Linked DNA regions of Pelodiscus sinensis. The protein of the gene in region 1 interacts with the protein of each later gene in a pairwise test. Links are inferred from orthologs where the notes say so. Each region holds a gene or a part of one and is shown in the gene's direction. Other genes may lie near its edges.

Region 1 (10,477 bases):
CCCCGATCCTGCACCCCCATAGCAGCAAGAACAGACTCCACAGCCAGTAGAACAGGGGGCTTTATTGCTCCTCCGGGATACAGCATGGCACAGATGTGATGTGGCTACAGGAGCCAGGGCCAGGATGCCTCAGACCCCTTAGGGTAGGGGGTCCATCGCCCCCTTAACCCTCAGCTTAGTCTGTTCCCTTCATGTTTCCCAGCCAGGAACTGCCTCACTCCCAGCCCCTGTCCTCCCCTCCCCTCCCCCCCCCCCCCCCTCCAGCCAGCTGACCGTCTCTACCTCCCTTTGTCTCTCCCCCTGGGAAGAGCCTTATCTGCTCAGGCTGGGACTAGGTGTCTGGACCAATCCACGTGTGGGTGAGTCAGTGGGAATCGCATCACAGCGTAGGGGGACCCCGATTACAGAGCAGACAGCCCCCCACTACATCACAAGCCACCATTAGGTTTCAGAGTCAACACCAGAGCAGGGGGATGGGGCCCTCCACACACCCCTCCACACTAGCCACTTGCAGACGCAGGGAGTCACCTGCCAGCTCCTTGCAGTACCGTGGCTGGAGCCTTAATTACCATGTAACATGCTGAGGCCTTGCGCCAGCTCCCTAAGCCAAAGAGCTGGCCAAGGCTGGCTCCTGAACTGCCAGCAGCTCCAGCCAATTGGGGGCCAGGTCCCACTCCCCGCCCCTTGCCAGCGGAACCCTATTGTAATTCGCAGGGGGACCGTGCAGCAGCTGAGCTGGGTGTCAGACAGGAAGTGTCAACGGCCCAGCACTTCCCGGCCCCAGGAGGGGGGAGGCCTCCTTCAAGCCGCTTCCCATTAGGTAATTGAACAGTAAACAACCGTCCTGCTGGAGCAGTAGCGGGGGCTCCGCATTCTGCCCCCCCCCTGTAACAGTGCCAGTCACAGGGGACCCCAGGGCCTTGGGGGTGTCTGACTCCCAGGATCCCCAGTGCCACTGGTGGGCCCCCCACATGGCACAGCTGGGGTCCTGCAAATCACACTGGGGATGAGCCAGGGTTGGTGCAGAGGATCCCGGGGTTTCGGCCCACCATGCTCTGATGGAGCCCGTGGGTTGTAGGGCACAAGGCACTGCCATGGGTCGCCCGCCCATTGGGTGGCACCACGTGCCAATACCAGTGTGGGCAAAGCCTTTCTACTGCCCCTGCAGCATGAGGGCAGAGGAGCGGCTACAGCACTGGCAGGGCCGGCGCCGCAGGGGTGTACGGCACAGGGCAGTCATGGGGAGATCCACCCATCTGCTTCCGGGCAGTGGCAGGTTTGGGCCCTGAGCAGAGGGCTGCAGTCGGGAGCATCTCAGCTCACAGACAGTGAGGGGCCAGTCTTCCAGGAATGTATCCAGCTCTGTGTGGAGCCCTGTGATATTTTTGGCTGTTGCAGCATCCCCTGGCAGTGAGTTCCACAGGTTAATTGTGCCACACGTGGGGGGAGGGAGAAAAATCACCTCCTCCTCTTTGTGTCCAACCTACTGCTCTTCCTGTCAGTGCAAGGCTCCTGGGGTTTGTGTTGGGGGAAGGGGAACTACACGTCTCCATTCACATGTCCCGCCCCAAGCAGGTCGTGGGGCCTCTAGTGTATCCCCTCGCCGGGGTGCGTCTCCATTCTAAGCTGAACACCTTGAAACCATGCAGCCTCCCCCCGCGGAGCTGTCCCTCACCTTGTGCCCTTCCCGCAGGCTTGGCCGGCTCCCCACGGATCGACACGGGGTGCTGGGCGTTTCTCTGCTCTGACTCTCCTGGTCCCGGCTGGGGTGGGGCTGTCCCAGGGCTGCCGAGTCTCCTTGAGCAGGAGCAGCGGCTGGCCCCCGTCCCTCGCTGGGAGGAGCTGGGATTGGTTTTCGGTGGGCAGAGGCTTTGAGGTTCCCCATAACTGCTCCCGGCTTTGCTGACAGGCAAATGGCACTTCCCTGTGTGCTCCCTTTTCTGGACCGCACTGCCCAGTCATGGTCCAGGTACAACCGGGGACCCCGCTCACCGCTCTGCTTGGGGGGGGCCACCGAGTCCTGCCCTTTGTCCCCACCTGGCCAGGGCCTGGCTGCTTCATAGAACCCTAGAAGCCCAGGGCAGGCAGAGACCTCAGGAGTCATCGGGTCCAGCCCCCTGCCCAAGTCAGGACCAATCCCAACTCAATCATCCCAGCCAGGGCTTGGTCAAGCTGAGACTTAAACACCTCTAGGGATGGAGATTCCACCCCCGCCCTAGGGAACCCAGCCCAGCGCTTCCCCACCCTCCTAGGGAAAGAGAATCCACCATCTCCCTAGGGATCCCATTCCAGTGCTTTAACACCCTCCTAGTGAAAAAGTTTTGCCTAATATCCAACCAAGACCTCCCCCCCTGCAACTTGAGCCCATTGCTCCTTGTTCTGCATCTGCCCCCACTGAGAACAGCCTCTTGCCAGCCTCTTTGGAACCCCCCTTCAGGAAGTTGCAGGCTGCTCTCAAATCCCCCCTCGCTCTGCTCTTCTGCAGACTGAACAAACCCAAATCCCTCAGCCTCTTCTCATAGGTCATGCTCCAGCCCCCGAATCATTTTCATTGTCCTCTGCCGGACCCTCTCCAATGCGTCCACACCCCTTGTGTAGGGAGGGGTCCAGAACTGAACACACCACTCCAGATGTGGCCTCACCAGAGCCAAATAAAGGGGAATAATCACTTCTCTAGATCTGCTGGCAATGCTGCTCCTAATGCCCCCCAATGTGCCATTAGCCTTCTTGGCTACAAGGGCTCCCTGTCGACTCATCTCCAGCTTCTCGTCCACTGGAATCCCCAGGCCCTTTTCTGCAGAACTGCCACTTAGCCAGTGAGACCCTGTCCGTGGCCTGGGCCAGAGTGACAGGAAAAGCTTCTCCTGTTGTGAGGCTCCAGCCACCCCGGGGAGCCAGGTGGGGCCACCCAGCCTGCCTGTAACTGACGCACTTCTCCCTCTGTTGCAGGTTGGGGAGGAGCCAGGCACCCTGCTCCCCTCTGGGCTTTGCTCAACTTCCTACTTCCTCTCCCCTCCACCCTACCCCCCCGCTGGCTGGGAGTCCAGAGTTCACCTGGGTGCGTGGAAAGTAACCGAGGTGCCCACTGGAGAACCCAAGCTGTTCCCTAGGGTGCCTATGAGAGACAAAGCAGCAGGTGCCCCCGCTCCTGCCCACAGCTGCTGATCAGCCTCTGCTCCCGCATCCCCGAGAGCCTCTCTAGCCCCCTCGCAGCTGCCCCCCAACCTTGTCTTCCAAGCTGCAGGGTTTTCATGCAGCCGTGTCCACATCCCGCACTCTGGGCACCCCCGGGCCTGCCTCCTGTTGCATTCGGGACAGCTGAGCCCTGGATTCCCTGCAGCTCCTGGCAGGCGGAAACCGAGTCTGAGGGTAACCTTGAGACTTGTCCTCCTGGAATTGGGCCTGGCTCGAGCCCCTCCCCCACAGCTCTACAGCAAGTCCCAACCGAGGCGCCATTATCCCCTTTGTGCACAAAGGGAAACTGAGGCACCGCAAGGGGCGGGGATTTGGCCAAGGTCAGCTAGCAGGGCAGTGGCAGAGGCAGGTGAGGAACCACCCCCATTCTCCTGCCCAGCTCTGGGGCCGCTCATCTCGCCCTTCCCCGCCCTGCAAGACCCACCCCAGGCTCAGGAAAGGGGTGAAAGTGGAAAGACAGAAGGAAAGAGACAGAGAGGTCAGCGCCCGCCCCGCCCCCTGACGTGACTCCGGAGTGACGCCCAGTGCGGGACCCCAGCCTGGAGGGGCTCCGGAGTGGACAGGGCAGGGTGGAGGGCCCGGCGTGCGCTGCGGGCGGGGCCGAGCCGGCTCTAGAGCGCTCTTCGCCTTTCTGGGCGGGCGCTGCCCGTGGCCCGGCCCCGGCCCCTCCCTCCTGGCTCAGCGGCCGCTGTGGGGCAGGCTGGAGGCACCGCACCGCAGCCAGGAGCCCCCGAGCGGCTGGCAGCGCCCAGGACGGCGGAGTGAGCGGCGGGGCCAGGCGGCCTGAGATCCGGCGCCATGGTGAGGGGCGCGACGCGGGCGGCACTTTCGGTTTCTGGGCGCCTCGTGGGGCCTGTCCGGGGCCCTGCGCCCGCGGCGGTCCGCTGGCCCCGGCCGTGGGGCTCCCGCTGGCGGGGGCATGAGGGGCTGTTCGGGGCCTGCCCCCCTTCGAAATCGGTGTCTCCTCCCCTTTTCCCGGACTTGTGCCATCGCCAGCGGCTCCGCTCCCTCCCCGCGCCCCCACCAGGGCTCACATCCTGCGCTTTGCCCCAGAGCCGGCTGCGCACGGACCAGCCCTGCGCCTGTGGGGGCTGACGGGGTCCCCGCTGTAGGGCCCCGGGGCCCTCCTAGCCCTTCACCACGCAGGTCGCCGCCCTTACCCCCAGCGACCGTTGGGGAAACTGAGGCACGCAGCAGGGACGAGACGGGCCCAAAGTCACCCAGAACTTCAGTGGACTAGACCTCCCATGGGCCAGTCCCATGCTCCGTGCACTAGGCAACGCTGCCTCCGGGGTCACCCTCCCTGCGAGGGGCCTGGCTCTGGCCGCCGAGCCAAGAAGCCCCGTGCTCCAGGCGGGGAGAAGCGGCGTGTCGGGCCGGGGCCGGAGTTACGCAGGGAAATGGGTTTGCGAGGCCAAGTGCCCTGGAATGCGACATGGGGGGAATAGCCCCGCAGCCCCTGCCCGGGGAGGGCGCAGCCAGGGCGCGCGGAGGCCCCAATGCGCAGGACGCGCTCCGGAGAGCGGCCGAGGCCCCGCCGAGCTCGGGGAAGCCGGGCCCCCTGGCTGGGCCATGACCCCCGAGAGCCTCAGCCAGAGTGGGGCCTGCTATTGCGCGTGGGCGTCGCGCTGGCCCCTGGCACTGCCCCTGCTGAGTGCAGCAGAGCCGGGCAGCTCCCCTGGCAAACCCTTCCCCAGGGGCAGCCAGCTTAGGTGTGCCAGCTCTAGGGGTCCGCCCCCCGGATCTCCCATAGTGCCCCCCGGATCTCCCATAGTGCCCCCAGCTCTAGGGGTCCGCCCCCCGGATATCCCATAGTGCCCCCCAGTTCTAGGGGTCCGCCCCCCGGATATCCCATAGTGCCCCCCAGTTCTAGGGGTCCGCCCCCCGGATCTCCCATAGTGCCCCCAGCTCTAGGGGTCCGCCCCCCGGATATCCCATAGTGCCCCCCAGTTCTAGGGGTCCGCCCCCCGGATCTCCCATAGTGCCCCCAGCTCTAGGTGTCTGGCCCTCCTGGATCTCCCATAGTGCCCCCCTGCTCTAGGTGTCTGGCCCCCCGGATCTCCCATAGTGCCCCCTGGATCTCCCATAGTGCCCCCCAGCTCCAGGGGTCCTCCCCCCAGCTCTAGGGGTCCTCCCTCCCGGATCTCCCATAGTGCCCCCCAGCTCTAGGGGTCTGGCTCCCTGGATCTCCCATAGTGCCCCCCAGCTCCAGGGGTCCTCCCCCCAGCTCTAGGGGTCCTCCCTCCCGGATCTCCCATAGTGCCCCCAGCTCTAGGTGTCTGGCCCTCCTGGATCTCCCATAGTGCCCCCCTGCTCTAGGTGTCTGGCCCCCCGGATCTCCCATAGTGCCCCCTGGATCTCCCATAGTGCCCCCCAGCTCCAGGGGTCCTCCCCCCAGCTCTAGGGGTCCTCCCTCCCGGATCTCCCATAGTGCCCCCCAGCTCTAGGGGTCTGGCTCCCCGGATCTCCCATAGTGCCCCCTGGATCTCCCATAGTGCCCCCCAGCTCTAGGTGTCTGGCCCCCCCCCGGATCTCCCATAGTGCCCCCCTGCTCTAGGGGTCCGGCCCCCCGGATCTGCCATAGTGCCCCCCAGCTCTAGGGGTCCTCCCCCCAGTTCTAGGGGTCCTCCCTCCCGGATCTCCCATAGTGCCCCCCAGCTCTAGGGGTCCGGCTCCCCGGATCTCCCATAGTGCCCCCTGGATCTCCCATAGTGCCCCCCAGCTCTAGGGGTCCTCCCCCCAGCTCTAGGGGTCCTCCCCCCAGCTCTAGGGGTCCTCCTCCTTGGATTTCCCATAGTGCCCCCCAGCTTTAGGTGTCTGGCCCCCCCGGATCTCTCATAGTGCCCCCCAGCTCTAGGGGTCCGGCTCCCTGGATCTCCCATAGTGCCCCCCTGCTCTAGGGGTCAGGCCCCCCGGATCTCCCATAGTGCCCCCCAGCTCTAGGGGTCAGGCCCCCCGGATCTCCCATAGTGCCCCCCTGCTCTAGGGGTCAAGCCCCCTGGATCTCCCATAGTGCCCCCAGCTCTAGGTGTCTGGCCCTCCTGGATCTCCCATAGTGCCCCCCTGCTCTAGGTGTCTGGCCCCCCGGATCACCCATAGTGCCCCCTGGATCCCCCATAGTGCCCCCCAGCTCCAGGGGTCCTCCCCCCAGCTCTAGGGGTCCTCCCTCCCGGATCTCCCATAGTGCCCCCCTGCTCTAGGTGTCTGGCCCCCCGGATCTCCCATAGTGCCCCCTGGATCTCCCATAGTGCCCCCCAGCTCTAGGGGTCCTCCCCCCAGCTCTAGGGGTCCTCCTCCTTGGATCTCCCATAGTGCCCCCCAGCTCTAGGTGTCTGGCCCTCCGGATCTCTCATAGTGCCCCCCAGCTCTAGGGGTCCGGCTCCCTGGATCTCCCATAGTGCCCCCCTGCTCTAGGGGTCAGGCCCCCCGGATCTCCCATAGTGCCCCCCAGCTCTAGGGGTCAGGCCCCCCGGATCTCCCATAGTGCCCCCCTGCTCTAGGGGTCAAGCCCCCTGGATCTCCCATAGTGCCCCCCAGTGCCTGGGGCAGGTTGGGGGAGGCCTGTGTTCTGTCTCACCCATTCTGATCCCTGGGGGTATGTCTACACTACCCCGCTAGTTCGAACTAGCGGGGTAATGTATGCATACCGCACTTGCTAATGAAGCCCGGGATTTGAATTTCCCGGGCTTCATTAGCATAAGCGGGGAGCCGCCATTTTTAAATCCCCGCTGCTTCGAACCCCGTGTAGCGCGGCTACACGGGGCTCGAACTAGGTAGTTCGGACTAGGGTCCTATTCCGAACTACCGGTACTCCTCGTGAAACGAGGTGTACCGGTAGTTCGGAATAGGCACCCTAGTCCGAACTACCTAGTTCGAGCCCCGTGTAGCCGCGCTACACGGGGTTCGAAGCAGCGGGGATTTAAAAATGGCGGCTCCCCGCTTATGCTAATGAAGCCCGGGAAATTCAAATCCCGGGCTTCATTAGCAAGTGCGGTATGCATACATTACCCTCCTAGTTCGAACTAGGAGGGTAGTGTAGACATACCCTGGGAGATGGGCCTGGCGTGGGTTTGTGATGGAGTGGGGATTGGGGGTGTTAATCTGCTTTGCCTGGCAGCCTGCCCTGGCCCACCCCTCCTGGCACCCCCATGCAGCGGGGGAGCAGTGGGGAGCGGGGGACCCCTCTGCGCTGGAGGCGGCTCCCCTCTGCGATCACTTTGAAAGGGGGTTTGTTCTGGGCTGGTCCTCGCACCTAATGGGACAGAGGGGCCCCCCTGCAGGCTGGGCGGGGCTGGGCCCGGTTGGGCCCAGCTTAGGGCTGCTGGGTGTCCTGCGGGGGTGGGGTGGGGGGTGGAATTTAAATTATGCAGCGAGACTCCCTGGGGCCATGAGTGCCCCTCCGCCTCCGCCGCTCCTCCCCTGCTCTGGGCCTCGGTTTCCCTATCTGATGACGCAGGATCCGAGCGAGCCCTGTGAGCTCTGGCAGGCAGCCTGGCACCAGTGCCAGGGGGCTCTGCGCCCCGCACAGTGGAGCTGGCAGCGTGGGGGCTGGGCCACAGGGGAGCCGGGCTCCACACAGACCCTGGCCCTTCGCTTCCCTGCTCTGGTCATGCTGTGGGGCAAGGGATGCTCGGCCGTGGGGGGCAAGGGGAGTCTGGCCGTGAGATGTGGGTCCCTCCCCCTCGAGGAACCCACCTGTCCATGTCAGCAGGGGCTCAGCACGTGCCACCAGCCCGGCGCTTCCTCTCTGAGCCGCTCGGAAACCCCCTTCGGCCAGGAGGAGCCTCAGGTCTCAGCCCCCGGCCATCTGGGCTGTGGCCACACTCTGGGGAGGGGCTGCTGCTGTGGGTGCCAGTCCCCCCCGGGAGCGGGGCCCCAGAACCTCTCTGCCTGGTCGGGGGGCTGGGGGTTTGTCCCACTGCAGGAGGGGGGCTGAGGCCAGAGGTGGCGAGTGGCCTGAGGAGGCCACAGAGGGCCCAGCCCATGGCAGGCGCAGTGCTGGGAATTCCCTGCCCGGCAACTTGTTTTTCCAGCTCTTGCCACCTCCGGGCATCGATCACAGGGGCCCAGAACAAACAATAGCAACTTGGCTGGTTCCCGTAAACATCCACCCGCTGCCGCGCGGCCCAGCCGGACGTCCAGACAGCTCGGCCTGCAGGAAACCGCCCGGCTCAGGGCTGGCTCCAGGCCACGGCCTGTGAGAACGGGCAGAGACCGCACAGTGCTCCCCAAGCCCCGCACAGTGTACCCCAGCTGCTACCCCAATCCCAGCCCCCGCACAGCGTACCCCAGCTGCTACCCCCAAACCCCACACAGCGTACCCCAGCTGCTACCCCAATCCCAGCCCCCGCACAGCGTACACCAGCTGCTATTTCAGTCCTAACCCCTGCACAGCGTACCCCGGTTGATACCCAATCCCAGTCCCCGAACAGCATACCCCAGCTGCTACCCTAATTCCAGTCCCCGCACAGCGTACCCCAGCTGCTATCCCAGTCCCCGAACAGCATACCCCAACTGCTGCCCCCAATGCCTGCACAACGTACCCCACCAACTACCTACAACCCCAGCTCCTGCACACCGTAACCCAACTGCTCCCCCATCCATGTGCTTCACCCCCACAAATCCACATCTTCCAACCGAATCCCTGCCCTTCTGGAACTTGGAGCCCTGTGCCTGCTCCCACCTCACCCCAGCCGCTCCCCTTACAGCCCCAGGCTGGGGCCGCTGCAGAGCCGCAGGTGCTCGTAGATGGGGGGGGCTCGGAGCAGCAGGGACCTTTGTGTGGTGTCATCTTCGGCATCCATGTCTGAGCCTTCTCGGGGGCCGTGGGCACGTGCGATGGCCGTGCTGGGAGCAGTGAGGTTCAGGGGGGCTGGGAGTCAGGACTCTGGCAGGGGCGGGGCACGTAGCCGTCCCAGCAGTGGGGCTGGGCACAGGGGTCTCGCCTGCCCCCCTGGCGCCCTGCCGCACGCGATGGGTTTCCCAGACTGTCCCTCCCCAGCCCAGCCCTCGCGGGTCACGCCGAGAGCTTCCTTCCGCCTGCCGCGTCCTGCACATGCGTTCGCCGCAGCCCCAGGGCTCCCCCGGTCCCACTTCCTGTGGGACTTGGCTCAGCTGACCCGTCCCAGCTGCCAGCAGATGCAGCTGGGGCTGGCTCGGGCCTCTCCACCCTTTGGCTGGGGTCTGCTCCTGGCGGAAAGGGTACTTCCCAGGGGGCTGGGCCCGCCAGCCAAGGTGCCTCGCTCCAGGAACCGCGGCCGTCACAGCGTCCGCCTGTCGGTGCCGAGAATTTACCCTCGTGGCTGTTTCCTGCTTTGGCCACGCGATCCCCCATGGGCGGCGCGGGCGGGAGGGGGCCTCGCCTGGGGTGGCAGTGGGGGGGGAGGGGGCGGCTGTGCCAGCACCTCTCTGCCAGGCCCTGCACCGCCCACACAGAGCTGACGGGGCCTCTTGGGCGGGAGGCGTCTCAATTAGAGGGGAAAGGAAGCAAGAGAGCCCTAAGTCTGCAGACACCACGCAGCCGCCCGGGGCAGGGCACCCACAGGCCCTGCCGGCCGCCTGGTTCTCAGAATCCTCCCGTCCACGCACCGTAAGGAAGGCTGGGCTGGTCCTTGAGCCCGACAGGGACTGGCCTCTGGGCCGCGGGTGCTGTGCCTGCGTTTAACCCCCTTGGCCCCAGCCAGGGATGAGAAATCCTGATTCGTCAGGTAAACAGCAGGTTGGCCTAATGTGTAACCGACTAGGCAGGCTCCCAGGTTGGCGGCTGCCCTGGACACTGGTTACCTGCTACCCTGGACACTGGTTACCTGCTACCCAGTGAGGATGGTGCTTAACCGGTTACCCGTTCACATCCCTCTTCTCGGAGGCTGGGCCAGAGGGCACTGGAGCTGTGGGTCTCCGTCACCGGGGGGTGGCTGGGCCAAGGCAAGTGGCACTGCAGGGTGGGAAGCGGCTGCTGCCTGGGTGGGTGCAGAGGGGGCTCCCTGCCCCCCGGAGTCGTGGCCTGGCAGGGCTCAGGTGCTAGGGACTTAAGCCTTAGTGCCAGCAAGCTCCCCCTGGGCTCCGCTCCCCTCCTGGAGGCCACTGGGCTGGCACTGCCCTCTGCCCTGGTCCCGGACAGCCAGAGCCCAGGCACCCCTGAACCCTGGCCACCCCGCAGGTGGAGAAGAAGCTGGAGAGATGCCAGAAGGATGCCGAGGAGGTGACTCAGATCATGCTGGACAACTACTCCAAGGTGCTGGACCGCGAGGTCAAGCTGAGCGACCTGGACAACCGGGCGGAC
Region 2 (10,477 bases), on another chromosome or scaffold:
ACCTGTCCCCCAGCAATGGGCTTTGTCCCTCTCCTCCGTGGCTAGTATGACAGCCAGGTGCTTTCTGCTCCTTGCCCCAGCTCCTAGCTCCTGCATGGTCCTTTTCCTCCTCCTCCTGGCCACTGGTAGCCCCGTAGTGGCAGGCAACAGGCGTGGCCCAGCAGGTGTGGAAGTGGCATCCAGTGGAATCCCAGGAGCTGTGTTCATTGTATTGCCATGGGAGGGTGAGGGGAGAAAGAACCCCCCCACACACACCCTTTGCTTTGTGTGTGTCCACAAGACTGACTGCCTATGTGCTGGGATGCTTCTCTACCCCTCATTCATAAATTCTCAGGGCCGGTCCATCTCCCTCCTCTCCTGGGCAGATTTACACCCGCACATGCCCAGCCAGTGCCAGGGGCTCGTGGCTGAGGCGGGAGAGCTGGGGGTGGACATATACGCTATGGGAGGGAGCTATCGGTTAAGAAGAGAGGCATTATTAGGAAAGTACAGGTGATTCTCAGAGTTACCAGCTTCTTAGGAACGGGGATTGTTCATAACACTTTAATGGTCTGGTGGTTCTTTCAGAAGTTTTGAACTGAACGCTGATTTAATGCAGCTTTGGAACATTATGATGCAACAGAAAAATGCTGCTTTCCCTTTTGTTTTGCTAGTAGGTTTGGTTTAACACAGGACTGTCCTGCTTTTGCTTTTCTCTCTGTCTGTCTCCTGCTGTCTAATTGCAAATTGTTGGTTCCAAACGAGGTGTGTGGTTGATTGGCAGAGACGACACATGTATGTGGGAAGGCACAAGAGGTCACATTCCCCAAAACACCACACGATCCCAGAGGGGGAACTGTAGACTGAGCCCACCCGAACGGGGAACCAAAGCTCGAACCTTAGGGCTTCTGCCCTGGGCAGGGGGCATGTAACCGTAGCCCCAGGTGGGGGGGCATGGGCTTGGCTTTCAGACTTGCTGGGACCCAGCACCAACACCAGCCTTAGCGGCCCGCTTTGGGGTCCCGACGCACAGTGTGAGAACACCGGGTCCAGTGAGATCTGTGTGAACAAAGCCCGAGCAAGCCTTATGGAACTGGCCTTACCAGTTTTGTGTCAGCAGAGGGCACCAGAGCCCAGCCCTGGGCCACAGCAGGACCTAGGCAGGGCTTGGCAGGGCTGCTAGCACACTGCACGGGGTGGGGTGTGTGTGTGTGTGTGTGTGCGCACGCACGCAGGGGGGGTGTGAGTGTGCAGAGGGGTGTGTCTGTGTGTGTGCGTGCACGCAGAGGAGTGTGTGTGTGTGCGCGCAGAGGGGTGTGTGTGTCTGTGTGTGTGTGTGTGCAGAGGGGTGTGTGTGTGTCTGTGTGTGTGAGTGTGCAGAGGGGTGTGTGTGTGTGTGTGCAGAGGGGGGTGTGTCTGTGTGTGTGTGCACAGAGGGGTGTGTCTGTGTGTGCGTGTGCGCGCAGAGGGGTGTGTGTGTGCAGAGGGGTGTGTGTGAGTGTGTGTGTGTGTGCGTGCAGAGGGGTGTGTGTGAGTGTGTGTGTGTGTGTGTGCAGAGGGGTGTGTGTGAGTGAGTGTGTGTGTGTGCAGAGGGGTGTGTGTGTCTGTGTGTGTACAGAGGGGTGTGTGTGAGTGAGTGTGTGTGTGTGCAGAGGGGTGTGTGTGTCTGTGTGTGTACAGAGGGGTGTGTGTGAGTGAGTGTGTGTGTGTGCAGAGGGGTGTGTGTGTCTGTGTGTGTACAGAGGGGTGTGTGTGTGTGTGTGTGTGTGTGTGTGTGTGGGCTCAGCACGGCATCGCCTCCCCAGCCTGCTCGCTTTGGCGCCAGTGTCAGTGGAAGTGGCCTGAGACGTAGATCACATAGTCCAGCCACAGAAATGGCAACCGTTGAACGGAGCCTATTGCTAATGCTCCCGAGCCGGGCAGCCCCCCACGCGTGGGCGCCCGTAACCAGGCTCCGACTGGACTGTACCCACTACAGGTAGCTAATACTGAGTTAGCTCGGTTCGTTTGGGTCCCAGGGCCGCTGCCCCTTCGGGAGCCTGAGAGCCCAGTCTGTCTCACGAAGGCCCCACCAGGCCTTTGATTAGTAACCCAGCCCCTGGCACTAGTGAAAGTTACCCAAGCTCAGTCAGAGGGGCCCAGGGAGAGACACAAGCTGCTGCCGAGAGAGGCCCGAGTCCGGGAGCGAAGGGAACCAAGCGGGTGAGGGCTCTGGGGAACCCACCAGATTGGGGAGCCTACAAGAGGTGCCCTTTGAGTGGGAGGAGCCTCCTAGGTGGTCGGCAGGTGTCTAAAATGGCCTACTCCCAGCCAGCAGGTCTCCCTGGGGTTGGCTGGAAGCCTTGGCCAGGCTCAGCTGCTGTCCCTGGAGAAGCATCGCAGTGACAGATCTCCCCGACGGGGGCCTAACCCCAGGGGCCCGCGGAAGAGCCTGGACAGAGGAGAGCTCTGGCCTCCGGTGGGGGACGAAGACTGGCCTGGCCCCCCAGCTCAGCTGCAGGCGGGAAAGCTTTGTGTGCCTTGTGCATTAGTTCTTCTGTCAGGAAAAGAGGCCTGCAAAAGAGGCAGGCACCTAGTGGCCAGTCTGGACTTGATGCCCTAGCTGAGGGACTGTGATGGGCTGTTTGCTCCCTACACTGGCCCTGAGGGGGCAAATCAGGCCTAAGTAAGTGCCCAGGCTGTAGGTGGAGGAGGAGGCGGGGAGCAGGGACTGATTAGATCCGAGGCTCAGTTGGGCAGGGACAGGCAAGGCCTATAAACCAGGCAGCTGGCGCCAGATGGGCTTGCAGGGAAGGAGCCTGCAGTCATACCCTAGCAGAAGGGCAGGGTGTCTGGGCTGGAGGCACTTAGTCTCTGGTTAGTCCTTGGGAGGGCAGAGTCTGCACTGGCAAACCCAGAGAAGGGGGAGAGCCAGAGAGGTGAAAAAGGCTCAGGGAGGTTATGGGGTTGGTCAGTTCTTGGCTGCTGTTGAGAGGGCCCCTGAGCTGGGACAGGGATTAGAGAATGGGGCTTGGGTGTTTCAAGCACAGGCCTGGGCAAAATACTGAACGCAGAAACGCAACTGCGGGGCACTGTCTCTTTATGAGTCCGGAGGGGAGGGGGGAAGATTCAGATGCTGCTTCCACCCCCAAACACAATCTCATTGACCAGTTTCTGGCCAGAAACCGGCCAATAGGAGCTGCTTGTTTGAATAACAGGCAGCCAGGAAGCAAAACCCCTCTCCCCTCCTGCTCAGTTACTCGCTTAAGCACAGGGCTGAGCAGGCAGAAACATTTTAAGCTCTGCAGGTCTTTAGCTCTGCCGGCAGGCAGGCTGGTTTGGCTGCTGGCTGGTAAGTCTCCTGGCCAGAGCCTGCCTCCGGCACTCCAGCCCCTCCCTGCCCCAACCGTCTGCCCCCAGCTCCTGCCCCGCTACTCACACCCACACCCCTCCCAGATCTGGCACCCTAATATTCTGCCTGAGATTACAATCCCCTCCTACACTAGATCACATCTGGCTATGGAGATGAAAATCGATGATTTTCGTGGAGGCTCAGGTAACTGGGTTTACAAATTTATGAGATGAAACAACCTTTCAGTTCAAGCACGGACAAGTGTTGGGCAATGGCTTCCTGATGAATAGGAGAAGATGGATGATTTCAGAGATTTTATCCATCAAGAAATTAACCAGCTGGGCCTGAAACCAAATGGCAGCATTAACATGGACGAGGTGCCCATGTCCTTTGATATACCTGCAATTCGGTCGGTTGCTGCAACTGGAGTGAAGACAGTCAGTGTAGCAATCACAGGTAATGAATGCGCCTGTTTTAGTGTCGTATTGGCATGTAGGGCAGGTGGTGAGAAATTAAAACCGATGGTAATTGTTAAGAGAGTGACGATGCCTCAAGAAAAACTACCAGCCGGCATGTCTGTGGTCTGTAACAAGAAGGGATGGATGAACACAGAGGTGATGAAGATGTGGACAGATAGCTGCTTTCATGCACAAAAAGGCGGGTTTTTAAAACCCAAATCTCTGCTACTTTTTGATGCCTTGGCCGCCCATAAAGAAACTTCAGTTCAAAAACGTATAAACACTGATTAGGCCTCAGTTGGAGTATTGTGTCCAGTTCTGGGCACCACATTTCAAGAAAGATATGGAGAAATTGGAGAAGGTCCAAAGAAGAACAAGAATGACTAAAGGTCTAGAGAAGATGACATATGAAGGAAGACTGAAAGAATTGGGCTTGTTTAGTTTGGAAAGACTGAGAGGGGTACATGATAGCGGTTTTCAGGTATCTAAAAGGGTGTCACAAGGAGGAGGAAGAAAAATTGTTCTCTTTAGCCTCTGACGACAGGACAATCAGCAATGGGCTTAAATTGTAACAAGGGAGGTTTAGGTTGGACATTAGGAAAAAGTTCCTAACGGTCATTGATTAAACACTGGAATAAGTTGCCTGGGGAGATTATGGAATCTCCATCTCTGGAAATAGTTAAGAGCAGGTTAGATAGACATCTATCAGGGATGGTCTAGACAGTTCTGGGTCCTGCTATGAGGGCAGGGGACTGGACTCGATGACCTCTTGAGGTCCCTTCCAGTTCTAGTATTCTATGATTCCTGAAGAGAGGTTCCAAAGAGGATTGGGAAGTAGTGACGGATGGCAGAACAAGGCACAATGGTCTCAAGTTACAGTGGGGTGGTCTAGGTGGGATATTAGGAAAAACTATTTCACTTGGAGGGCAGTGAAGCACTGGGATGGATTACCCAGGGAGGTGGTGGAATCTCCATATTGAGAGGTTTTTATGTGTCGGTTTGACAAAGCCCTGGCTGGGTTGATTTAGTTGCGTTTGGTCTTGCTTTGGGCAAGGGGCTGGACTTGAGGACCTCTGGAGGTCTCTTCCTGCCCTAGGAGTCTATAAAGGAGTGTGGGTTACGAAGGGAGGAGACAGAGGCCTGAGGGGTTCTGCGGACTGGGAAAAAGGAGGGATGGGGCTGTGGAGAGAAGGCGGGGGGGCTGCAACTTTCCTGGCTGCTTTCTCCAATCCCTTCTCACCACAGTGGCAGCTTGGGCTGGAGGACACAGGGTCTGAGGGATCCCATGGCTGGCGGGGTAGTGGTGTAGGGGGAAGGGAGGGGCGGGGGTTGGGGCTGAGAGATCCCCTGAGATCTCCCACTTGCTGAGACACGCAGGTCACAAGGTTATCACAGCAGGCAGCACTTTGGAAACTACAACTCCCAGGATGCATCGCGGAACGAAGTGACTCCCCTGGCGTTCCGCGTCCAGACTGCTCACGTCACTTCGTCCTTCACCAACTTCCGTTTCGCTAATGGAAGCTACTCGGGGCGCCCAGGGCGGCAGCATAGGGAGGGAGAGTCCAGTGTGGGATTGAGGCTGCGCGGGGCCCGGCAGTCTGGGGGGGGGGTGATGCCCGAACCCATCAGGGCTGAAGCGGCCACCCCACTGCCGCACCGTGGTCCCGGCCACGCCCCAGCACAGGGCGGGCTCCCAGGGTGCCCTGCGCCGCGAGGGGCTCCGAGCGGTCCTGCCCGGAAGTAGGGTCTGGCGCCCGGAAGTGGTTTTAGTTCCGGGTCGGGGTCGCTTCACTATGGAGTCGCTGTGGAGGCTGAAGCGGTTCGATGCGTTTCCCAAGACCCTGGAGGATTTTCGGGTCAAGACCTGCGGGGGCGCGTTAGGTGAGGGGGGGGCCGGGCAGGGGGGGGGACGGGCGGGGGGACCCGGCCGGTCCGAAGTTGTTCTGTGGGCTCAGGCCGCCACTTCCTCCGGGCCCATGGCTGCTCCAAGCCGGCGCCCTGTGCGCGGGAACGGGCTTCCCGGCCTCCCGCCCAAGGCAGCGGCGTCGGGAGCCGCTGGAGTCTGGCTGGCTGCAGCGCCTCCCGTGCCCGCAGGGAGCTGCCGCACTGCCCTTGGAAGGGGCCCGCAGCCCCTGCCTGCGCTGTCCCTGTAGGTCACTTCACCGCCACTCACTGCTGGCGCCCTGCGCCTCCTCCCCGCCACCATTACAGTGCAGAGTGTTTGATCATCTCATATCCAGGCTGGTGTCCCCAGCTGGAGTTTGTGGGCTGGTGCCACATGGGGTAGGAGGGACATAGATCCCTGCTTTCAGTCTGGTATGCACACATGCCTTCCTCCTGACTGATTCTTTCTTCCCTGCTTCCTGTTCTTATTTTTCTCCATTCCTCTTGTTTTTACCACTCGGAGGCGTAATCTGACCAGTGCTAGCTCAGCCAGCGACAGCAACAAGGGATGGAGTAGGGTGGAAGCTGTTCATTCTTTATTCAGGCCCCAGAACTTGGCCTAGAACCTGTTTCACAGTCATATGGTTCCTATTTTAACTCTGAAGGTGATCAGTGGGCACAGTACTTGACTCCTCCTCAGCTTTAAAACTTCAAATAAAGGAAGCTTTGGGGGTAGCTGAGTTAGTCTGTACAGGATAAACTTAAAAAACCACAAATGGTCTGGTAGCACTTTAAAGACTAACAAAACATGTAGATGGTATCATGAGCTTTTGTGGACACAGCCCACTTCTTCAGATGACCAGAGTTTTACTTTACAAATAAATTGTGTGCTTCCTTCTGCCTATGTCATCCTTCCAGGCAAGATTCTGCAAGCTCTCGGTTTTTTTGTTAGTTGTTTTGTTTGGGACGTTTTAGGCAAACCATTGGTGTTCCACTTGCACCCTTATACATCTTACCCATTTGAACTAAGACATGAGAGACTGTGTTGTGCTTTAAGACGTGCCTATTTGTATCTGTGTAGAATACCCAAGTATTTATATGCAGAGGTTCTGTAGTGCAGAAATGTAGAGCAAAGTAGTGATTCAGTCAGTCAAGTAGCCTGTTGGTGACAGTAGCCAGTACAAACTAGTTCAGAGCAAAGAACAAGAAACCTCCCAATGGGTTATTCTGGAATAATCAACATATAGGGAAGTTATTGCTGAGTCTTGCCAGGTGTTGGCTGATGCCGTAAAGCAGGAGGGTTTGCCTTATGCAAATACATATGTTTAAATAATAAAGTCAAAAGCATCCTATAAGAAGAATATTGAAGTAGCAAAGTCAATTCCTTCAAAATTAGGAAATACCAGAGTCAAGGTTGCCCATGACATCTTAATGCTGTCACCTCCCTCCTCCCCTGCCAGTGGTCTGTTATGATACTGTCTTTAATTATATGAGCCCATATGGTTTTCCAAAGGATCCTGGCCTTGTTCTGGAATAAGTAGTGTAATGGAGCCACAAAATAAATGCTATCCAGGTTTGAACAGTCTCTTGGAGGAACCCCTTGGATGTACCAGATCCCCAGGAATCTCATCCTTCCCTCAGGGTAGGTCATTTGGCTTGACTGCCTTCAAAGATTGAACCATTGAGGCTTCAGTACTGCTGCTTTGTACTGTGAGTTCAGAGAGTTCACATCCTTGAAGATCTCCTGAGTAAGTCAGGGTTGTCTCTTGCCATCTTTCCAATGTTTCCTCCTCATTGGGATAGTTTTCTTTTGTGCAATTAATAATGTGTCTTTAAAAAACTGCCTGCTCTCCTGAGCACTTTTTCCTTACACTTGCTTCCCACAGGATAATCATAGAATTTGACGAGACCTCAGGAGGTCATCAAGTCCAACTCCCTACCCAAAACAGGACCAACACCAACTAAATCATCCCAGCCAGGGCTTTGTCAAGCCGGGACTTAAAAACCTCTAGGGATGGAGATTCCACCCCCGCTCTAGGGAATCTATCCCAGTGCTTCACCACCCTCCTTAGGAAATCTTTTTTCCTGATATCTAACCTAGACCTCTTCCACAGCAACTTGAGACCACTGCTCCTTTGTCTGTCATTTGTCACCACTGAGAACAGCCTCTCTACATCCTCTTTGGAACACTCTCCCCACCCAGAAGTTGAAGGCTGTTATCAAATCCTCCCTCACTTTTTTCTTCAAGGTGAATTTGATTTTAAATAAAATTTATTTAAATCACTACTCCAGGAAGACTGGATTTAATCATGGTATTCTATATCATAGAATCATAGAGCTGGAAGAGGCCCCGGGAGGTCATCAAGTCTAGGCCCCTGCCCAAGGCAGGACTCCATCCCAACTAAATGAACCCAGCCAGGGCTTTGTCAAGCTGAGACTTAAAAACCTCTAGGGATGGAGATTCCACCACCTCCTTAGGTAACCCATTCCAGTACTTCACTACCCTCCTAGTGAAATAATTTTTTCCTAATATCCAACCTAGACCTCTCTCACTATAACTTTAGACCATTTCTCCTTGTTCTGCCATCTGTCACTACTGTGAACAGCCTTTCTCCATCCTCTTTGGAACCTTGCTTCAGGAAGTTGAAGGCTGCTATCAAATCCCCCCTCACTCTTCTCTTTTGCAGACTAAACAAACATAAATCCCTCAGTCTCTCCTCATAGGTCATGCGCTCCAGCCCCGTAATCATTTTGGTTGTCCTTCGCTGGACCCTGTCCAATGTATCCACATCCTTTCTGTAGTGGGGGGCCCAAAACTGGACACACTAGTCCGTATGTGGCCTCCCCAAAGCCGAATAAAGGGGAATAATCACTTCGCCGGATATGCTGGCAATGCTCCTTATAATGTACCCTAATATGCCATTAGCCCTCTTGGCTACTAGGGCACACTGTTGACTCATATCCAGCTTCTCATCACTGTAATCCCCAGTTCCTATTCTGCAGAATTGCTACTTAGCCATTCGGTCCCCAGCCGGTAACAATGCTTGGGATTCTTCCATCCCAGGTGCAGGACTCTACACTTGTCCTTGTTGAACCTCATCAGATTTCTTTTGGCTCAATCCTCTAATCTGTCCAGGTCACTGTGGACCCTATCCTGCTCTTCAATGTATCTACTTCTCCCCCTAGCTTAGAGTCATCCGCGAATTTGCTGAGGGTGCAATCCATCCCTTCATCCAGGTCTTTAATAAAGACGTTGAATAAAACTGGTCCTAGAGCAGATCCTTAGGACGCTCTGCTAGAAACCGACTGCCAACCTGACATCAAGCCGTTTGTCAGGCCCAACGGGTAGTGATCATCTAGCCAGCTTTCTATCCATTTTACAGTCCATTTATCCAATCCATATTCCTTTAACTTGCTAGCATGTATATTGTGGGAGACCGTGTCAAAAGCTTTGCTTAAAGTCAAGGTCTATCATATCCACTGATTTTCCTATCTCCACAGAGCCAGTTACGTTTATTCTTGTTGTTTTTTCTACCCTTAATACATATTTTTCACAACTCAGAGATAGATGTAGGTTTCATTTTTAGAAGGTACACACTACACATTTTAAATAGTGATTTATTTTGAAAATTTCTCAGATAAGTTTTATAGCTACACCTGAAAATGAATGATTTCATTTACCAAAGGTAATTGAAGCAGACATTTATGAATCATTGGTGAGATCTTTTTGAAGCTTTTCACAGTCTGCTTTGGTCTGAACTATCTTGAGTAGTTTGGTATCATCTGCAAATTTTGCCACCTCACTGCTTACCCCTTTCTTTAGATCATTTATAAATAAGTTGAATAGGATTGGTCCGAGGACAGAGCCTTGGGGGGGGAACCCCACTAGTTATCTCTCCACTAGGAAAACTGACCATTTATTCCTACCCTTTGTTTCCTGTCTTTTAACCAGTTCTCAATCCACTAAAGGACCATCCCACTTATCCCATTATAACTTACTTTACTTAAGAGCCTTTGGTGAGGGACCTTGGCAAAGGCTTTCTGGAAATCTAACTATATAATATCTACTGGATCCCCCTTGTCCATATGTTTGTTGACCCCTTCAAAGAACTCTAGCAGATAAGTAAGGCGTGATTTCCCTTTACAGAAACCATGTTGACTTTCCCCCAACAAATTATGTTGATCTAAGTGTCTGACAATTTTATTCTTAACTATAGTTTCAACTAATTTGCCTGGTACTGATGTTAGACTTACTGGTTTGTAACTACTGGCATCACTTCTGGAGACCTTTTTAAATATTGGCATCATATTAGCTATCTTCCAGTCATTAGGTATGGAAGCCAATTTAAAGGATAGGTTACAAACCACAGTTAATAGTTCCGCAATTTCCCGCAAAACTCTTGGGTGAATGCCATCTGTTCCCAGTGACTTGTTATTGTTGTTTATCAATTTATTCCAAAATCTCTTCTAATGACACCTTAATCTGGGATAATTACTCAGATTTGTCACCTAAAAAGCATGGCTCAGGTTTGGGAATCTCTCCAGGTTAGTTGTGCAGTGCTGCCCCTTGAAATGCCTCCTCGGCATTTGAAAGGGATAGCGCCACATAGCTGAGCCAGGGATCAGCTGTGTGGCACTGTCCCTTTGAAACACCGAGGCAGCGTTCAAAGGGGCAGCGTCGCACAGCTTGTCCCAGGATCAGTCGTGCGATGCTGCCGTGTGTAGAGTCCAGGGTAAACTGGGGAGTCCCCAGCTAACCCCAGCTGCAGTCATGTAGGGACTCCCCAGCTAATCCCGGGTTCTACTGAAATGCCACACGGAGCCG
Region 3 (10,477 bases), on another chromosome or scaffold:
CACAGTGTGGCTTCAGAGCCAACCGGGGAACCACAGACATGGTGTTTGTCCTGAGGCAGATTCAGGAGAAGTGCCGGGAGCAAAACAAAGCGTTGTACGTCACCTTTGTGGACCTGACAAAAGCGAAAAGCGTTTGACACCGTTAGCAGGCAGGGACTTTGGAAAATCCTGGAAAAACTAGGCTGCCCACCGAAGTTCCTCACCATGATCATCCAGTTTCATGAAGACTAGCTTAGACAAGTCAGACATAGCAGCGACCTCTTGCAGCCTTTCCCTATTGCAAACGGTGAAACAGGGCTGTGTTTTTGCTCCCACACTGTTCACCATTTTGTTCAGCATGATGCTCCAGCAGGTCACAGAGGACCTCGACAACGCTGATGGCGTATACATCCGTTTTCGTCTCAACGGGAGCATGTTCAACCTGAGGCGTTTGCAGGCCCACACAAAGATCATGGAGAAACTGATCAGGGAGCTGCTGTTTGCTGACGATGCCGCCCTTCTTGCTCACACAGAGGCAGCTATGCAGTGAATTACGTCTTGTTTTCGCAAAAACTGCTCAGATCTTCGGTCTTGAAGTCAGCCTGAAGAAGACTGAAGTTCTTTATCAGCCTGCACCCCACAAGGAGCACCATCCACCAAGCATCTTCACTGAACAAACAGAACTGAAAGTTGTCCACCAGTTCAGCTACTTGGGGTGCGTGATCTCGTCTGACGCCAAGATCGACAAAGAAGTCGATAACAGACTGGCTAAGGCAAACAGTGCATTCGGCAGACTATACAAACGTGTCTGGAACAACAGCAACCTCAAAAGAGACACGAAGGTCAGCGTCTACAAAGCTGTTGTGCTGACCACTCTCTTGTATGGCGCTGAGTCCTGGGTCACGTACCGTCGTCACCTGAGTCTCCTCGAACGTTTCCATCAGTGCTGCCTCCGCACAATCCTCAATATTCATTGGAGTGACTTCGTCGCCAACACTGAAGTCCTCGAGTTAGCGGAGGTCACCAGCATCGAGGCCATGGTCCTCAAGATACAGCTTCGCTGGGCAGGGCACATCGCCAGGATGGAGAACCACCGCCTACCCAAGATCGTGTTGTATGGGGAACTGTCCTCTGGCTTCCGCGACGTAGGGGCACCACGAAAGCGGTACAAAGATTCCCTGAAGAAGTCCCTCACTGCTTGTTGTATCGATCACCGTCAGTGGGCAACACAAGCAGCTGATCGCAACTCCTGGCGGCATACAGTCCACCAGGCCACCTCCTTCTTCGAAGATACCCGCAGGGCCTGTATGGAGGACAAAAGGAGAAGGAAGAAGAACCGTGACCCCTCAGCACCTATCCCGGATCAGACCTATATTTGTAGCCGTTGTGGCAGGACCTGCCTGTCCCGCATAGGCCTTGTCAGCCACCAGCGTGCCTGCAGAAGACGTGGATTTCTTTCCTAGATCCTCGTTCGCGAAGTCAAGCCATGATGATGGACAAATTAGATAGAGATTTCTGTGGAGTTCAAGTCCCATTGGAATGGTGCGCCTGGGTCCTGAGGCAAGTCCCTTTGACTTAGCCTTCTCAGAACTCATCTGACCTCAGTGTCTTTATTTTTTAAGAGTTTGGCAGGTGTACGAAAGGCTCAAGGCAGGTGGGTGGGAGGCTCAGGACTAAGGAGGGAGATTGGCAGGCGAGTTAAGGCTTAGAGGAGGCCCAAAGCCAGCTGGGTCTGTGCTGTCCTGCCAGCGGCTCAGTCCCAGGGAAGGGGTGGAGCTGTGCTGCCCTGCTGGTGGCTTCTCCTGTGGTGGGGTGCAGCGGTGGAAGCTATGCTGTCCAGCTCTGCCAGGCAGATGGTCCTTTGGGTGGGGACGCTGGCCAGCGGGGTTTCCTTCCCCCCCACTGGATCCGAATGCCAGGGAGTTTGGCTTGAGGCTTTGAGAGAGGGAGGCCACATACCCAGACAGTGGCCTACAACATGGAAAGCTCCAGCCCCAGCTGGCCACTCTCTTACTGGTGCAGCTATCCCTCTCTGGTCACTCTGGAATAATATTGTTCCCCTGCGCTCACTGCCCCCTTAAGGTCACTGAGGAACATAACTGTCCAGAATATTAGAACTCTGCTCTTCTGTGTTATGGAAAACAATCTGATTCCAGGCACATCTCATTGTCCTGGAATCTTGCTTTAAGTTATGATAAGAGGAAGCTGCATACCAAATGTGGTGATCCTAGCTCTTATGGTTTAGGAGGAGTTCTTGAACAAACGGACTCACAGATGGAGACAGACAGACAGACAGAAACCCACATTTCTAAAATATATAGTAGAGAAGATTTTGGGACCTCTTCTTGAACAGTTCTATTGCCTCCATTCAAGACTCTAGAAATTTGCAAGGTGAGAGGGATATAGGCCTCAGTGCTGCAAAGACTTGGGTGTGTCATTTTCAATGGTCTGATGAAAATCTGTTTTGGTTTTGGCTGAATTATAAAGATTTAAAATATATTCTTCACTCTAGTCCCTGTTACTCTGATGCTTATATAAGTGTTTCCAGCTGTCACGATTTTACCCAGAACCTTGCAAAGGCTAGCACTTCTGGAGTCTTGTAATTATACGAGAAGCTCATTTTCTGCACTCTTGGTTGCAATGAAAAGCTGAAGCATGTAAACAGGAAATGCTGGGAAACCAGAAGGCAAATCAGCAGAACCCAACATGTGTGTGTTTAACAGCTCAGGCTTTTAAAGCCAAATCTCATGATTTGGGGGCCTGACACATAGTTTCTGTTTTGGGGTGCCAGATGGTTTCAACAAAAATACGGGACACACTTGATATTACATCACAATCTACATCTTATTTAGAAAATTCCAGACATTTACATTTTCTCAATTTGTTTCCCGAACAGAAAGCTCAAATACTGGACTGTCCTGTTCAAAACCCAACACCTGGCAGCCCTATAACATTCTGCATGCTTTAGCCTACTAACAGTTTGACACTTCCCCCCTTTTTGGAGCTTAGTCGCAGAGAGGTTAGTGAACCAGCTGCTGCCCTCCCGTTAGGGCGCCCCACTTGACCCCTTTTGCCCCAAACAGTGCAGACTCGGGAGCCCAGCCAGACCGCCCTGGTGCCGGAACGTTAGTGCCGCGGTGCGCGGGCGGGGGGAGGCAAGTACTAGTGATGCACAACGCGGAAGTGAGCCGGGCCGCAGTCAGATCCGGGGGGGGGAGGATGGATGGAGCCCGGGGCTGCCACACGGGGCCGGGGCTCATTCCCGCTCCCTAGTCCCTGTGAGCGGCGGGAAGGAGCCGCCGGGGACTGGCGCTGCATCCGCCCCGGGATATCCGGGCTGAGCTAGGGCGGGAGCCCCAGGCAGGCCCCGCGGGGGAGGCTCAGGGGCTCCCGGGAAAGGGGGGGGGCACAGGTCTGACCTGGGAGCCGTTAGGTGGGGAAGCCATTGGGGGGCCGGTCGGGGGGCTGTACATCTCGAAGGGGAGTTGAGGAATCCGGGGACCCCTGGGAGTGCAGGGGGGGTTGAAGACTCGGGCCCCTAGGAGTGCACGGGGGCCCCCCTAAAAGTAGAGCCATGGCCACCCGGCGTTTAACAGACGCGTTCTTGTTGTTGCGGAACAACGCGATCCAAAACCGGCAGCTGCTGGCCGAGCAAGTGAGTAGTTACAGCTCCTCCAGCCCTCTGAATTCACGTAGCATGGCTGCTGCGGTGAGTCTCCTCCCTTCATCCTACTGTATCCCACACTGGCTGCTCTAGTGCTATCTGCTTAGGACTGTCAGACAGCAGGTGTCCTCCTTGTCTCCTCCCTCCTCTCTTCATCCCATCTCCTAAGTCACCCCTTCGCCTCACCTTTCTCCCCTCAAACCCCCCTTCCCCTTTCTTCTCCTCACCCTGCTCTTTTTTTCTTACTCTACAAGCTCCCTTTTCTCCAATTGCCTTCCTTCTCTCCTATCTCCTCTATGTCCCACACTTCTAACACCACCCCCCTGCCCACTGTCCCTGCCCCATGTAAAATGAATAGAATATATATGTCATTTCTTATTGATCTTCTCTGTTTGCTCCTTAAATAATAAACTTTATTATTATTATTTAAATAGCCTCATATTATCACTAGACATTAAGTTGTTGTCTTTCCTTTTTCTCCTGACCCCGCCCCCTTTTTCAGGTAAAAGGAATAAAGCTATCTTTTTCATTCTGATCTTTTCTCACTTTGCTGTAGGCACTGTTAAAACCTATAATGCAAATTGCCACCGTTATTTTAACCCTTTCTTATTTTGAGACGTTCTCTTTTCTTCCTTTTTCAAAGTAAACAGTCATTTAAACATCATTTCAACTATTTGAAAATACTTTATAGTAAAATAGTAAAAGTAGAAGTTAATTGGACTGCAGGCACAAGAGTACACCTGTGTACACCACTTTGCAGGATGGATGCTTGGAGTGTATTCTCTCCATTGGTAATATATACATAGAGCGCACGCGCGCGCACACACACACACACACAGACACACACACACACACACACACACACCCAGCGTCTGAGGCCCCAGTTTCAATGCTTTAACTATGAAAAGTGAAAACCTTCCATTTTTTCCCTTAATTTCTTATTATTTCCTCTTCTGTGTTGGTTTTTATAGCTTTTGTTGTTTGTGTTCTATTGCAAAGTTGTTATAATACACAGTGCAGATACCACCAAGCACAATCCTCAAGTGCAATCCTCATTCCATACCTGTGGCTGTTTATAAATGGTCTCGTCAAATTCCAGTATTGCTTTGAATCATGTATGAAATAATTATCAAGAGAGTGAGGCTTTTGTAAATGCACATAAACAGGGCCAATTTGAATTGAGTTTAAAAATTGGGTTTCAGTAAGTAATGAAGCACCACATTTGACAGGCCAGCCATGTAGACTTCTGGTTGGTAACTGAAACTATATGGCTGTGTTGACATTGGCGCGATCTTGCACCAAAGCAGCCGCTTTCGCACAAAAACCTGCTGCCTGTCTACATTGGCGGGGAATTCTTGCGCAAGAACACTGATGTTCTAATGTGTGAAATCAGTGCTTGCGCAAGAACTATGATGCTCCCGCTCAGGAATAAGCCCTCTTGCGCAACTGTTCTTGCGCAAGAGGCCAGTGTAGACAGGCAACATGAATTTCTTGCGCAAGAAAGCCTGATGCGCAAAGGCACATGCCAGTGTAGATGCTCTTGCGTTAAAGAGTATTTGCGCAAGATCATGCCAATGTAGGCATAGCCTGTTAGTATAGCATTGTCTTCGTCCATTTCTGCTTTTAGGTCAGTCTTCTCATTTATCTAGAAAAGCCTCTTCTAAATAAATGGGTCCTCCTTTCTTTCTCTTGCTTTTCATTAATGCATTTTCTATAAGGAGAAACAATAATTAATGCTACAAATTCTGTTCCAACATAGGTGCTGCAGTAGACTAATCTTTGTCCATAGTTAGCTTTATCCTACCTATCTTTGTACAAGCTACTTACAGTATTACCTTTACAGAACAGTAAAGGTCACACCTAGTAATATATTTTAAATGTATTTTATTCTGGCACTCTGTTTGGCTTTTCTAAAATTGTATTTGTACACATAGTTATTAGAGGTTGTTAAATCACCAAGATTTTTTTAGACATTCTAAAGTTTTAATACTTGCCTAGAAAGGTTACTGATGATGAAAACAAGCATAGAAACAACTGACCAATCAGATTCAGTTTCCATTGAAAAGGTAATGGGATAGTAATACTTAGCACTTGTTTATGCTTTACATTTTCAAAGTCTTTACTGGCATTGTTGGGGAAAAAAACTATTTTGCCAAGTGCTGGTACAAATGCAGCCAACATTGGCAGTGATTGAAAAACTTAACTGTCTCCTTGTTGCCCCATAAGAACATAAGAATGGCCATACTGGGTCAGACCAAAGGTCCATCTAGCCCAGTATCCTGTCTTCCAACACTGGCCAATGTCAGGTGCCCCAGAGGGAGTGAACAAAAGAGGTAGTCATCACATAATTCCTCTCCTGTCATCCATTTCCAGCCTCTGACAAACAGAGGCTAGGGATGCCATTCCTACCCATCCTGGCTAATAGTCATTGATGGACCTAATCTCCATAAATTTATCTAGTCCTTTTTTGAAAGCTGTTAAAGTCCTAATCTTCACGACATCCTCTGGCAAGGAGTTCCACAGGTTGACGGTGCACTGTGTGAAGAAAAACTTCCTTTTGTTTGTTTGTTTGTTTGTTTAAATCTGCTACCTATTAATTTCATTTGGTGACCCCTAGTTCTTATGTTATGGGAACAAGTAAATAACTTTTCTTTATTCATTTTTTCCGCACCAGTCATGATTTTATAGACCTCTATCATATCTCCCCTTATTCTCCTCTTTTCTAAGATGAAAAGTCCCAGTCTTTTTAATCTCTCTTCATATGGCATCCGTTCCAAACCCCAATAATTTTTGTTGCTCTTTTCTGAATCTTTTCCAATGCCAGTCTTTTTCCTCATGTGAAATTAATAGTTGGACCAAGTTAGTAGTGGACAGATGTCTGTTCCATAATTCCTACTTAGTTACATCCATGTTTGTCTCTACAAGAAAGTACAAGCCGGTCCCCAACTTACAGCCACCTCGACTTATGACCATCTGCACTTATGACCAAAGCGGTCGTAAATGCAGGCTCCGAGTTACAAATGCGATCCGCGCTTACGAATAGCGCAGTCGCAATGTAACTCAATGGGTTCCGAGTTACGATCATTCCGAGTTACGGCCAAGCGTTTGGTCCATAACTCGTTCGTAACTCGGGGATCGGCTGTAAAGAACTGCATAGATTGAATTGTCTTCCATTTATCTGTTTGAGGTACCTATCACTACACTTATTAATATAGCATCTATGCAAATTGCCTTGTCCTCTGTAATATGGTGCCTCCGAAGCAGGGTTAAAGCACACTGGCAGGGTGGCAAAGTCTAATTGGTAACTACATTGTTTTTGGATAAACAGGTTCAAGAGTTGTTCATCTACCACCCTTCATAAATACAATGAATTACTGTAAAAAGTTATTTTTTATTCTGCATTAGAATAGTTCAGCCTTCTGATACAGTCATGAAATCAATGTAACTGGAATTTTAGCTACTCAGGCAAAGTTTAAATCCTTTTTTTTTTATATCTAAAGCTGAGTATATGACTATAAGAGCTATTTAAATGTAGCATGAGACACCGTTTTACCTCTGAAACATTTTGTCCTTGCTTTCAAATTAACATTTGCTTTTAATTTTTCAATTATCCTCCTGAAAACACAGTTGTTAAACTGGTAAAGTTGAAAATATATAGTAGTTGTTCTATATTTTGGTGTTTGGGTGTGGCTTTTTTGTTTGTTTTTTCCCATTTCCTCTTAAAGCGATTGTAGTGCTTATCAGTAAATGTATGTCTTGAGTCATCATTTCAAGCTTTACCCAATAAAAGTATCAAATCATAATGCATACAGGTCCTCCTATCTGTTTCTTGAATCAAATGTGTCAAAGTGTATACTGGATGTTGAATATTATGGGCACATGATCCTTGCTATATTAAACTGTTCTAGCTCACATTAAACATGTTTTACACAGCAATTCTTCTTTCTGATGGTAATCAAAGTCATATGTTAAATTGCATTTAAATCAATTTCTTGACTGTTTCTTGATTTTTTTCAAACAATTATTTTCTTGTTTACCAGCAAAAAACCAAAATACATTTTAAAGAAAAATGTGCTTTTGTGTTCCAGGGTAAATACTTATGTAGATACATTGAGAATGCTGTAATTTAATTAGCCATTATTGTTTTAAGATAATTTGTGGTTTGTTCTTGGTAAACAGTCTATTTATTTAAAAAAAATAAAGCTTCAGTACTTTCTCAACTGACTGTACCCTATCTCTGTCCTATGTGTGTGTCTCTGTGTCTCTCTCTCTCTTACCTTTTGCTGTCCCTAAATGGATGGGGCTGATGGAATCAACAAATCATCAGGAGCTGGATGAGGTATTGTTTTTTCATGTTTTGTTCCACCATGGTGCATCTAATATAGATGACTAGAAGATTTACCCAGTATTGCTTGGGTCCTTAACTCAATCAGTTTGGTTTTTTGGAAAATAAAATTTAAAATGTACATGTTTCTTTGGAATCATTGCTCTGGGGTGTGGCTGGGGATTAAGGGTTCAGTATTCAGGCTGCCCTCAGGGAGAGAGGAGTACTCGACCCTCTGTCACCATAGCATCTTGGGACAAGGTGAGAAGTGCCTCTCAGTGGCTGCTGCAGCTCCAGTGGGCACATCTGGGGGATGGGGTGCATGTCCCCCGGCTAGGACAAGTATGGATTCATCTACCCCCTGATCTCCCTAGCCATGGTGAGCAATGTGGCAAACTGTGCACTTTCCCCTCATTCTCTGACAAAGGGGATCAACCAGCAATATTCCTCTATGAATTGGGGTGGGTGGGGGAATCCTGGGGAGTAGGAGGCTGGGCTAGGGCAAACTCAGATGTGGGCCGGGATACGCCCCCAGCCACCCCTTTTCACCTGCCTAGTGATTTTGTGTCTCTTTGGTATGGTTTTATGAGACTCAGTCCCATTCTAGGCTTATTCCATTTACCAGGTATAACCCAAACTCTTACTTTGTTTTAAGTTATGATAGGAAACTGTATACTGAATTTGGTGATCCTAGTTTTTTCCATTTAGGAGTTCTTGAACAGACAGGCAGACTCTGTCAAATATGTAGTAGATGATTAGTTAGAACACTCATATTGTTTTACTGTTAATTTCTGAGATTTAACAGTGTGAGATCAGTGATGTATTTTTCATAATATAAGAATGAGGCAGCTTTTTCATTAGAGTGAAGAAGAGTTTTGTGAGACATTTTGATGTGCAGTGGGGTCATATTACAATATTACTACATAGTTACATAAAACTGTCCAGATTTACTGTGTACACGCTGCATATAAAAACTTTATACAGTGAAACCATTAACTATTATTCCTGCTTTTGTTAACTTTAGTAAGCATAGGGCTTATTACTGTGAGTAGTCCCTTAGGATTCAGTGGACTAAGCAGTGTGCCGAGTAACACATGCAGCAATAGGGTCTTTGGGAGTGTCCTTATTATCAACAGATCTTCAAAGCTTAAGCCTTTAAATCAGAAAAGCATTATATGCTAAAAACAATTAATTTGCACAACTTTTGATTATCTGCACAGCTACAAAATACACGTTGCCATCTACTTACACAAAGTATTTGTGGGATTTCTATAATGTGACATCCCCTGTTTACATGACATTTTGAAAAAAATCTCACCTTCGTGATCACATATAACCCATTTGCACTTGTACAGCAAAATTAAATGCAACCCAATCAACCTACTTTGAAATGCAGCCCAAATAAAATGAACTGAAGAAAATGTTTATCAGTAGCTTTTTCTTAAAGTACAATTATCAAATACCACTCATGCTGCTTTATTTAATTATAAATCCATTCTGTCTCTTTTCAATGTCCTATATAGAAGTCGAGTGTTCCATTTGTAGTGGCAGCAAAGCTTTGTAGCAATACTTCAGTGGAAATGAGAGGAAGCTGACTGAATTAAATTAGAAAGCATGGTCTAGTGACTAAAGCTCAGGATTAGGAGTCAAGAGACCTACGTCTTATTCCTAGCTCTGCCATAAATGTTCTGTGGACAAGTCATTTAACCTTTCCATGCCTCTGTTTACCCATTAGTTTTATAAGGATATTACTTCAAGGCTTTGTGAAAGTATTCTTTTGAGGTACTCTGAAGTAAAATGCTATAGAAGTATTAAGTAATTTATGTGATTTACTGTCCTACTTGTCTTACCTCAGAGTTTTCTTGTTTGTACAGGCCGATAATGAGCCTTACTCAGTGTAACTACTTACTGTGTTCATTTTCCTTTTTAATTACAAGTTATTTCAATCACATATAAAAAAAAAGAAAAAACATTGAAGGTTGCAACATCTAACTCAGCAAAACAGAACAGATCCAGGTGAATTACTGTGTTCTATGTGTCTAAATCAGTTTCAGATTCTTCTGATGTTGCTAGCTTTTTGGCGTAAATAGGGATGTGATAGTGTAGTTGAGTCAATAATTAACTGATAAGCAAAAGCTTATTGGTTAATGCTATTGACTACATGCATTCCCCCACCACCTAATTTTTTAGAGGGATGGCCAGCAGCCTGGGAGCTACTCCTACCTCAGCTCTACACTTAAAGTAGTTTAGGAGCCGGGTGGGCAAGCAGCCCAGCTCAGTCCCAGCTCATGCCAGGACCCAGAAACTCCCAGGACTCGGCATGAGCTGGGACTGAGTGCTTGCAGTGCTAAACCCTTATCGATTAATCGTGTAGTCGACAAATTTTTTGTTGACTACACGATTAACGGATTGTACCCTTCTTAACATCCCTAGTGGTAAAGAAGAGTGGCAGGAAAGGCACCAAGCAATTGCTAAGGCAAGGAAATAAATGGGCACCTTCCTTCCATCCA

What was found.
Region 2: the proteins of VAMP5 (region 1) and ERGIC3 interact in binary tests that used the Homo sapiens proteins (3 or more experiments, as listed by UniProt). The link is inferred for Pelodiscus sinensis from reciprocal best matches to the Homo sapiens genes VAMP5 and ERGIC3.
Region 3: the proteins of VAMP5 (region 1) and STX16 interact in binary tests that used the Homo sapiens proteins (3 or more experiments, as listed by UniProt). The two-hybrid records come from large-scale screens. The link is inferred for Pelodiscus sinensis from reciprocal best matches to the Homo sapiens genes VAMP5 and STX16.

What each region holds. Positions count from the first base shown.
Region 1 is NC_134738.1:5,427,397-5,437,873, reverse strand, and holds the start of VAMP5 (vesicle-associated membrane protein 5), read left to right. Parts: upstream 1-3,746; 5' UTR 3,747-3,993; coding exon 3,994-3,996; intron 3,997-10,354; coding exon 10,355-10,477. UniProt on the Homo sapiens protein: May participate in trafficking events that are associated with myogenesis, such as myoblast fusion and/or GLUT4 trafficking.
Region 2 is NC_134728.1:31,052,852-31,063,328, forward strand, and holds the start of ERGIC3 (endoplasmic reticulum-Golgi intermediate compartment protein 3), read left to right. Parts: upstream 1-5,317; 5' UTR 5,318-5,561; coding exon 5,562-5,649; intron 5,650-7,766; exon of another isoform or gene 7,767-7,900; intron 7,901-10,477. UniProt on the Homo sapiens protein: Possible role in transport between endoplasmic reticulum and Golgi. Positively regulates trafficking of the secretory proteins SERPINA1/alpha1-antitrypsin and HP/haptoglobin.
Region 3 is NC_134728.1:12,905,448-12,915,924, reverse strand, and holds the start of STX16 (syntaxin-16), read left to right. Parts: upstream 1-3,161; 5' UTR 3,162-3,553; coding exon 3,554-3,688; intron 3,689-7,970; coding exon 7,971-7,982; intron 7,983-10,477. UniProt on the Homo sapiens protein: SNARE involved in vesicular transport from the late endosomes to the trans-Golgi network.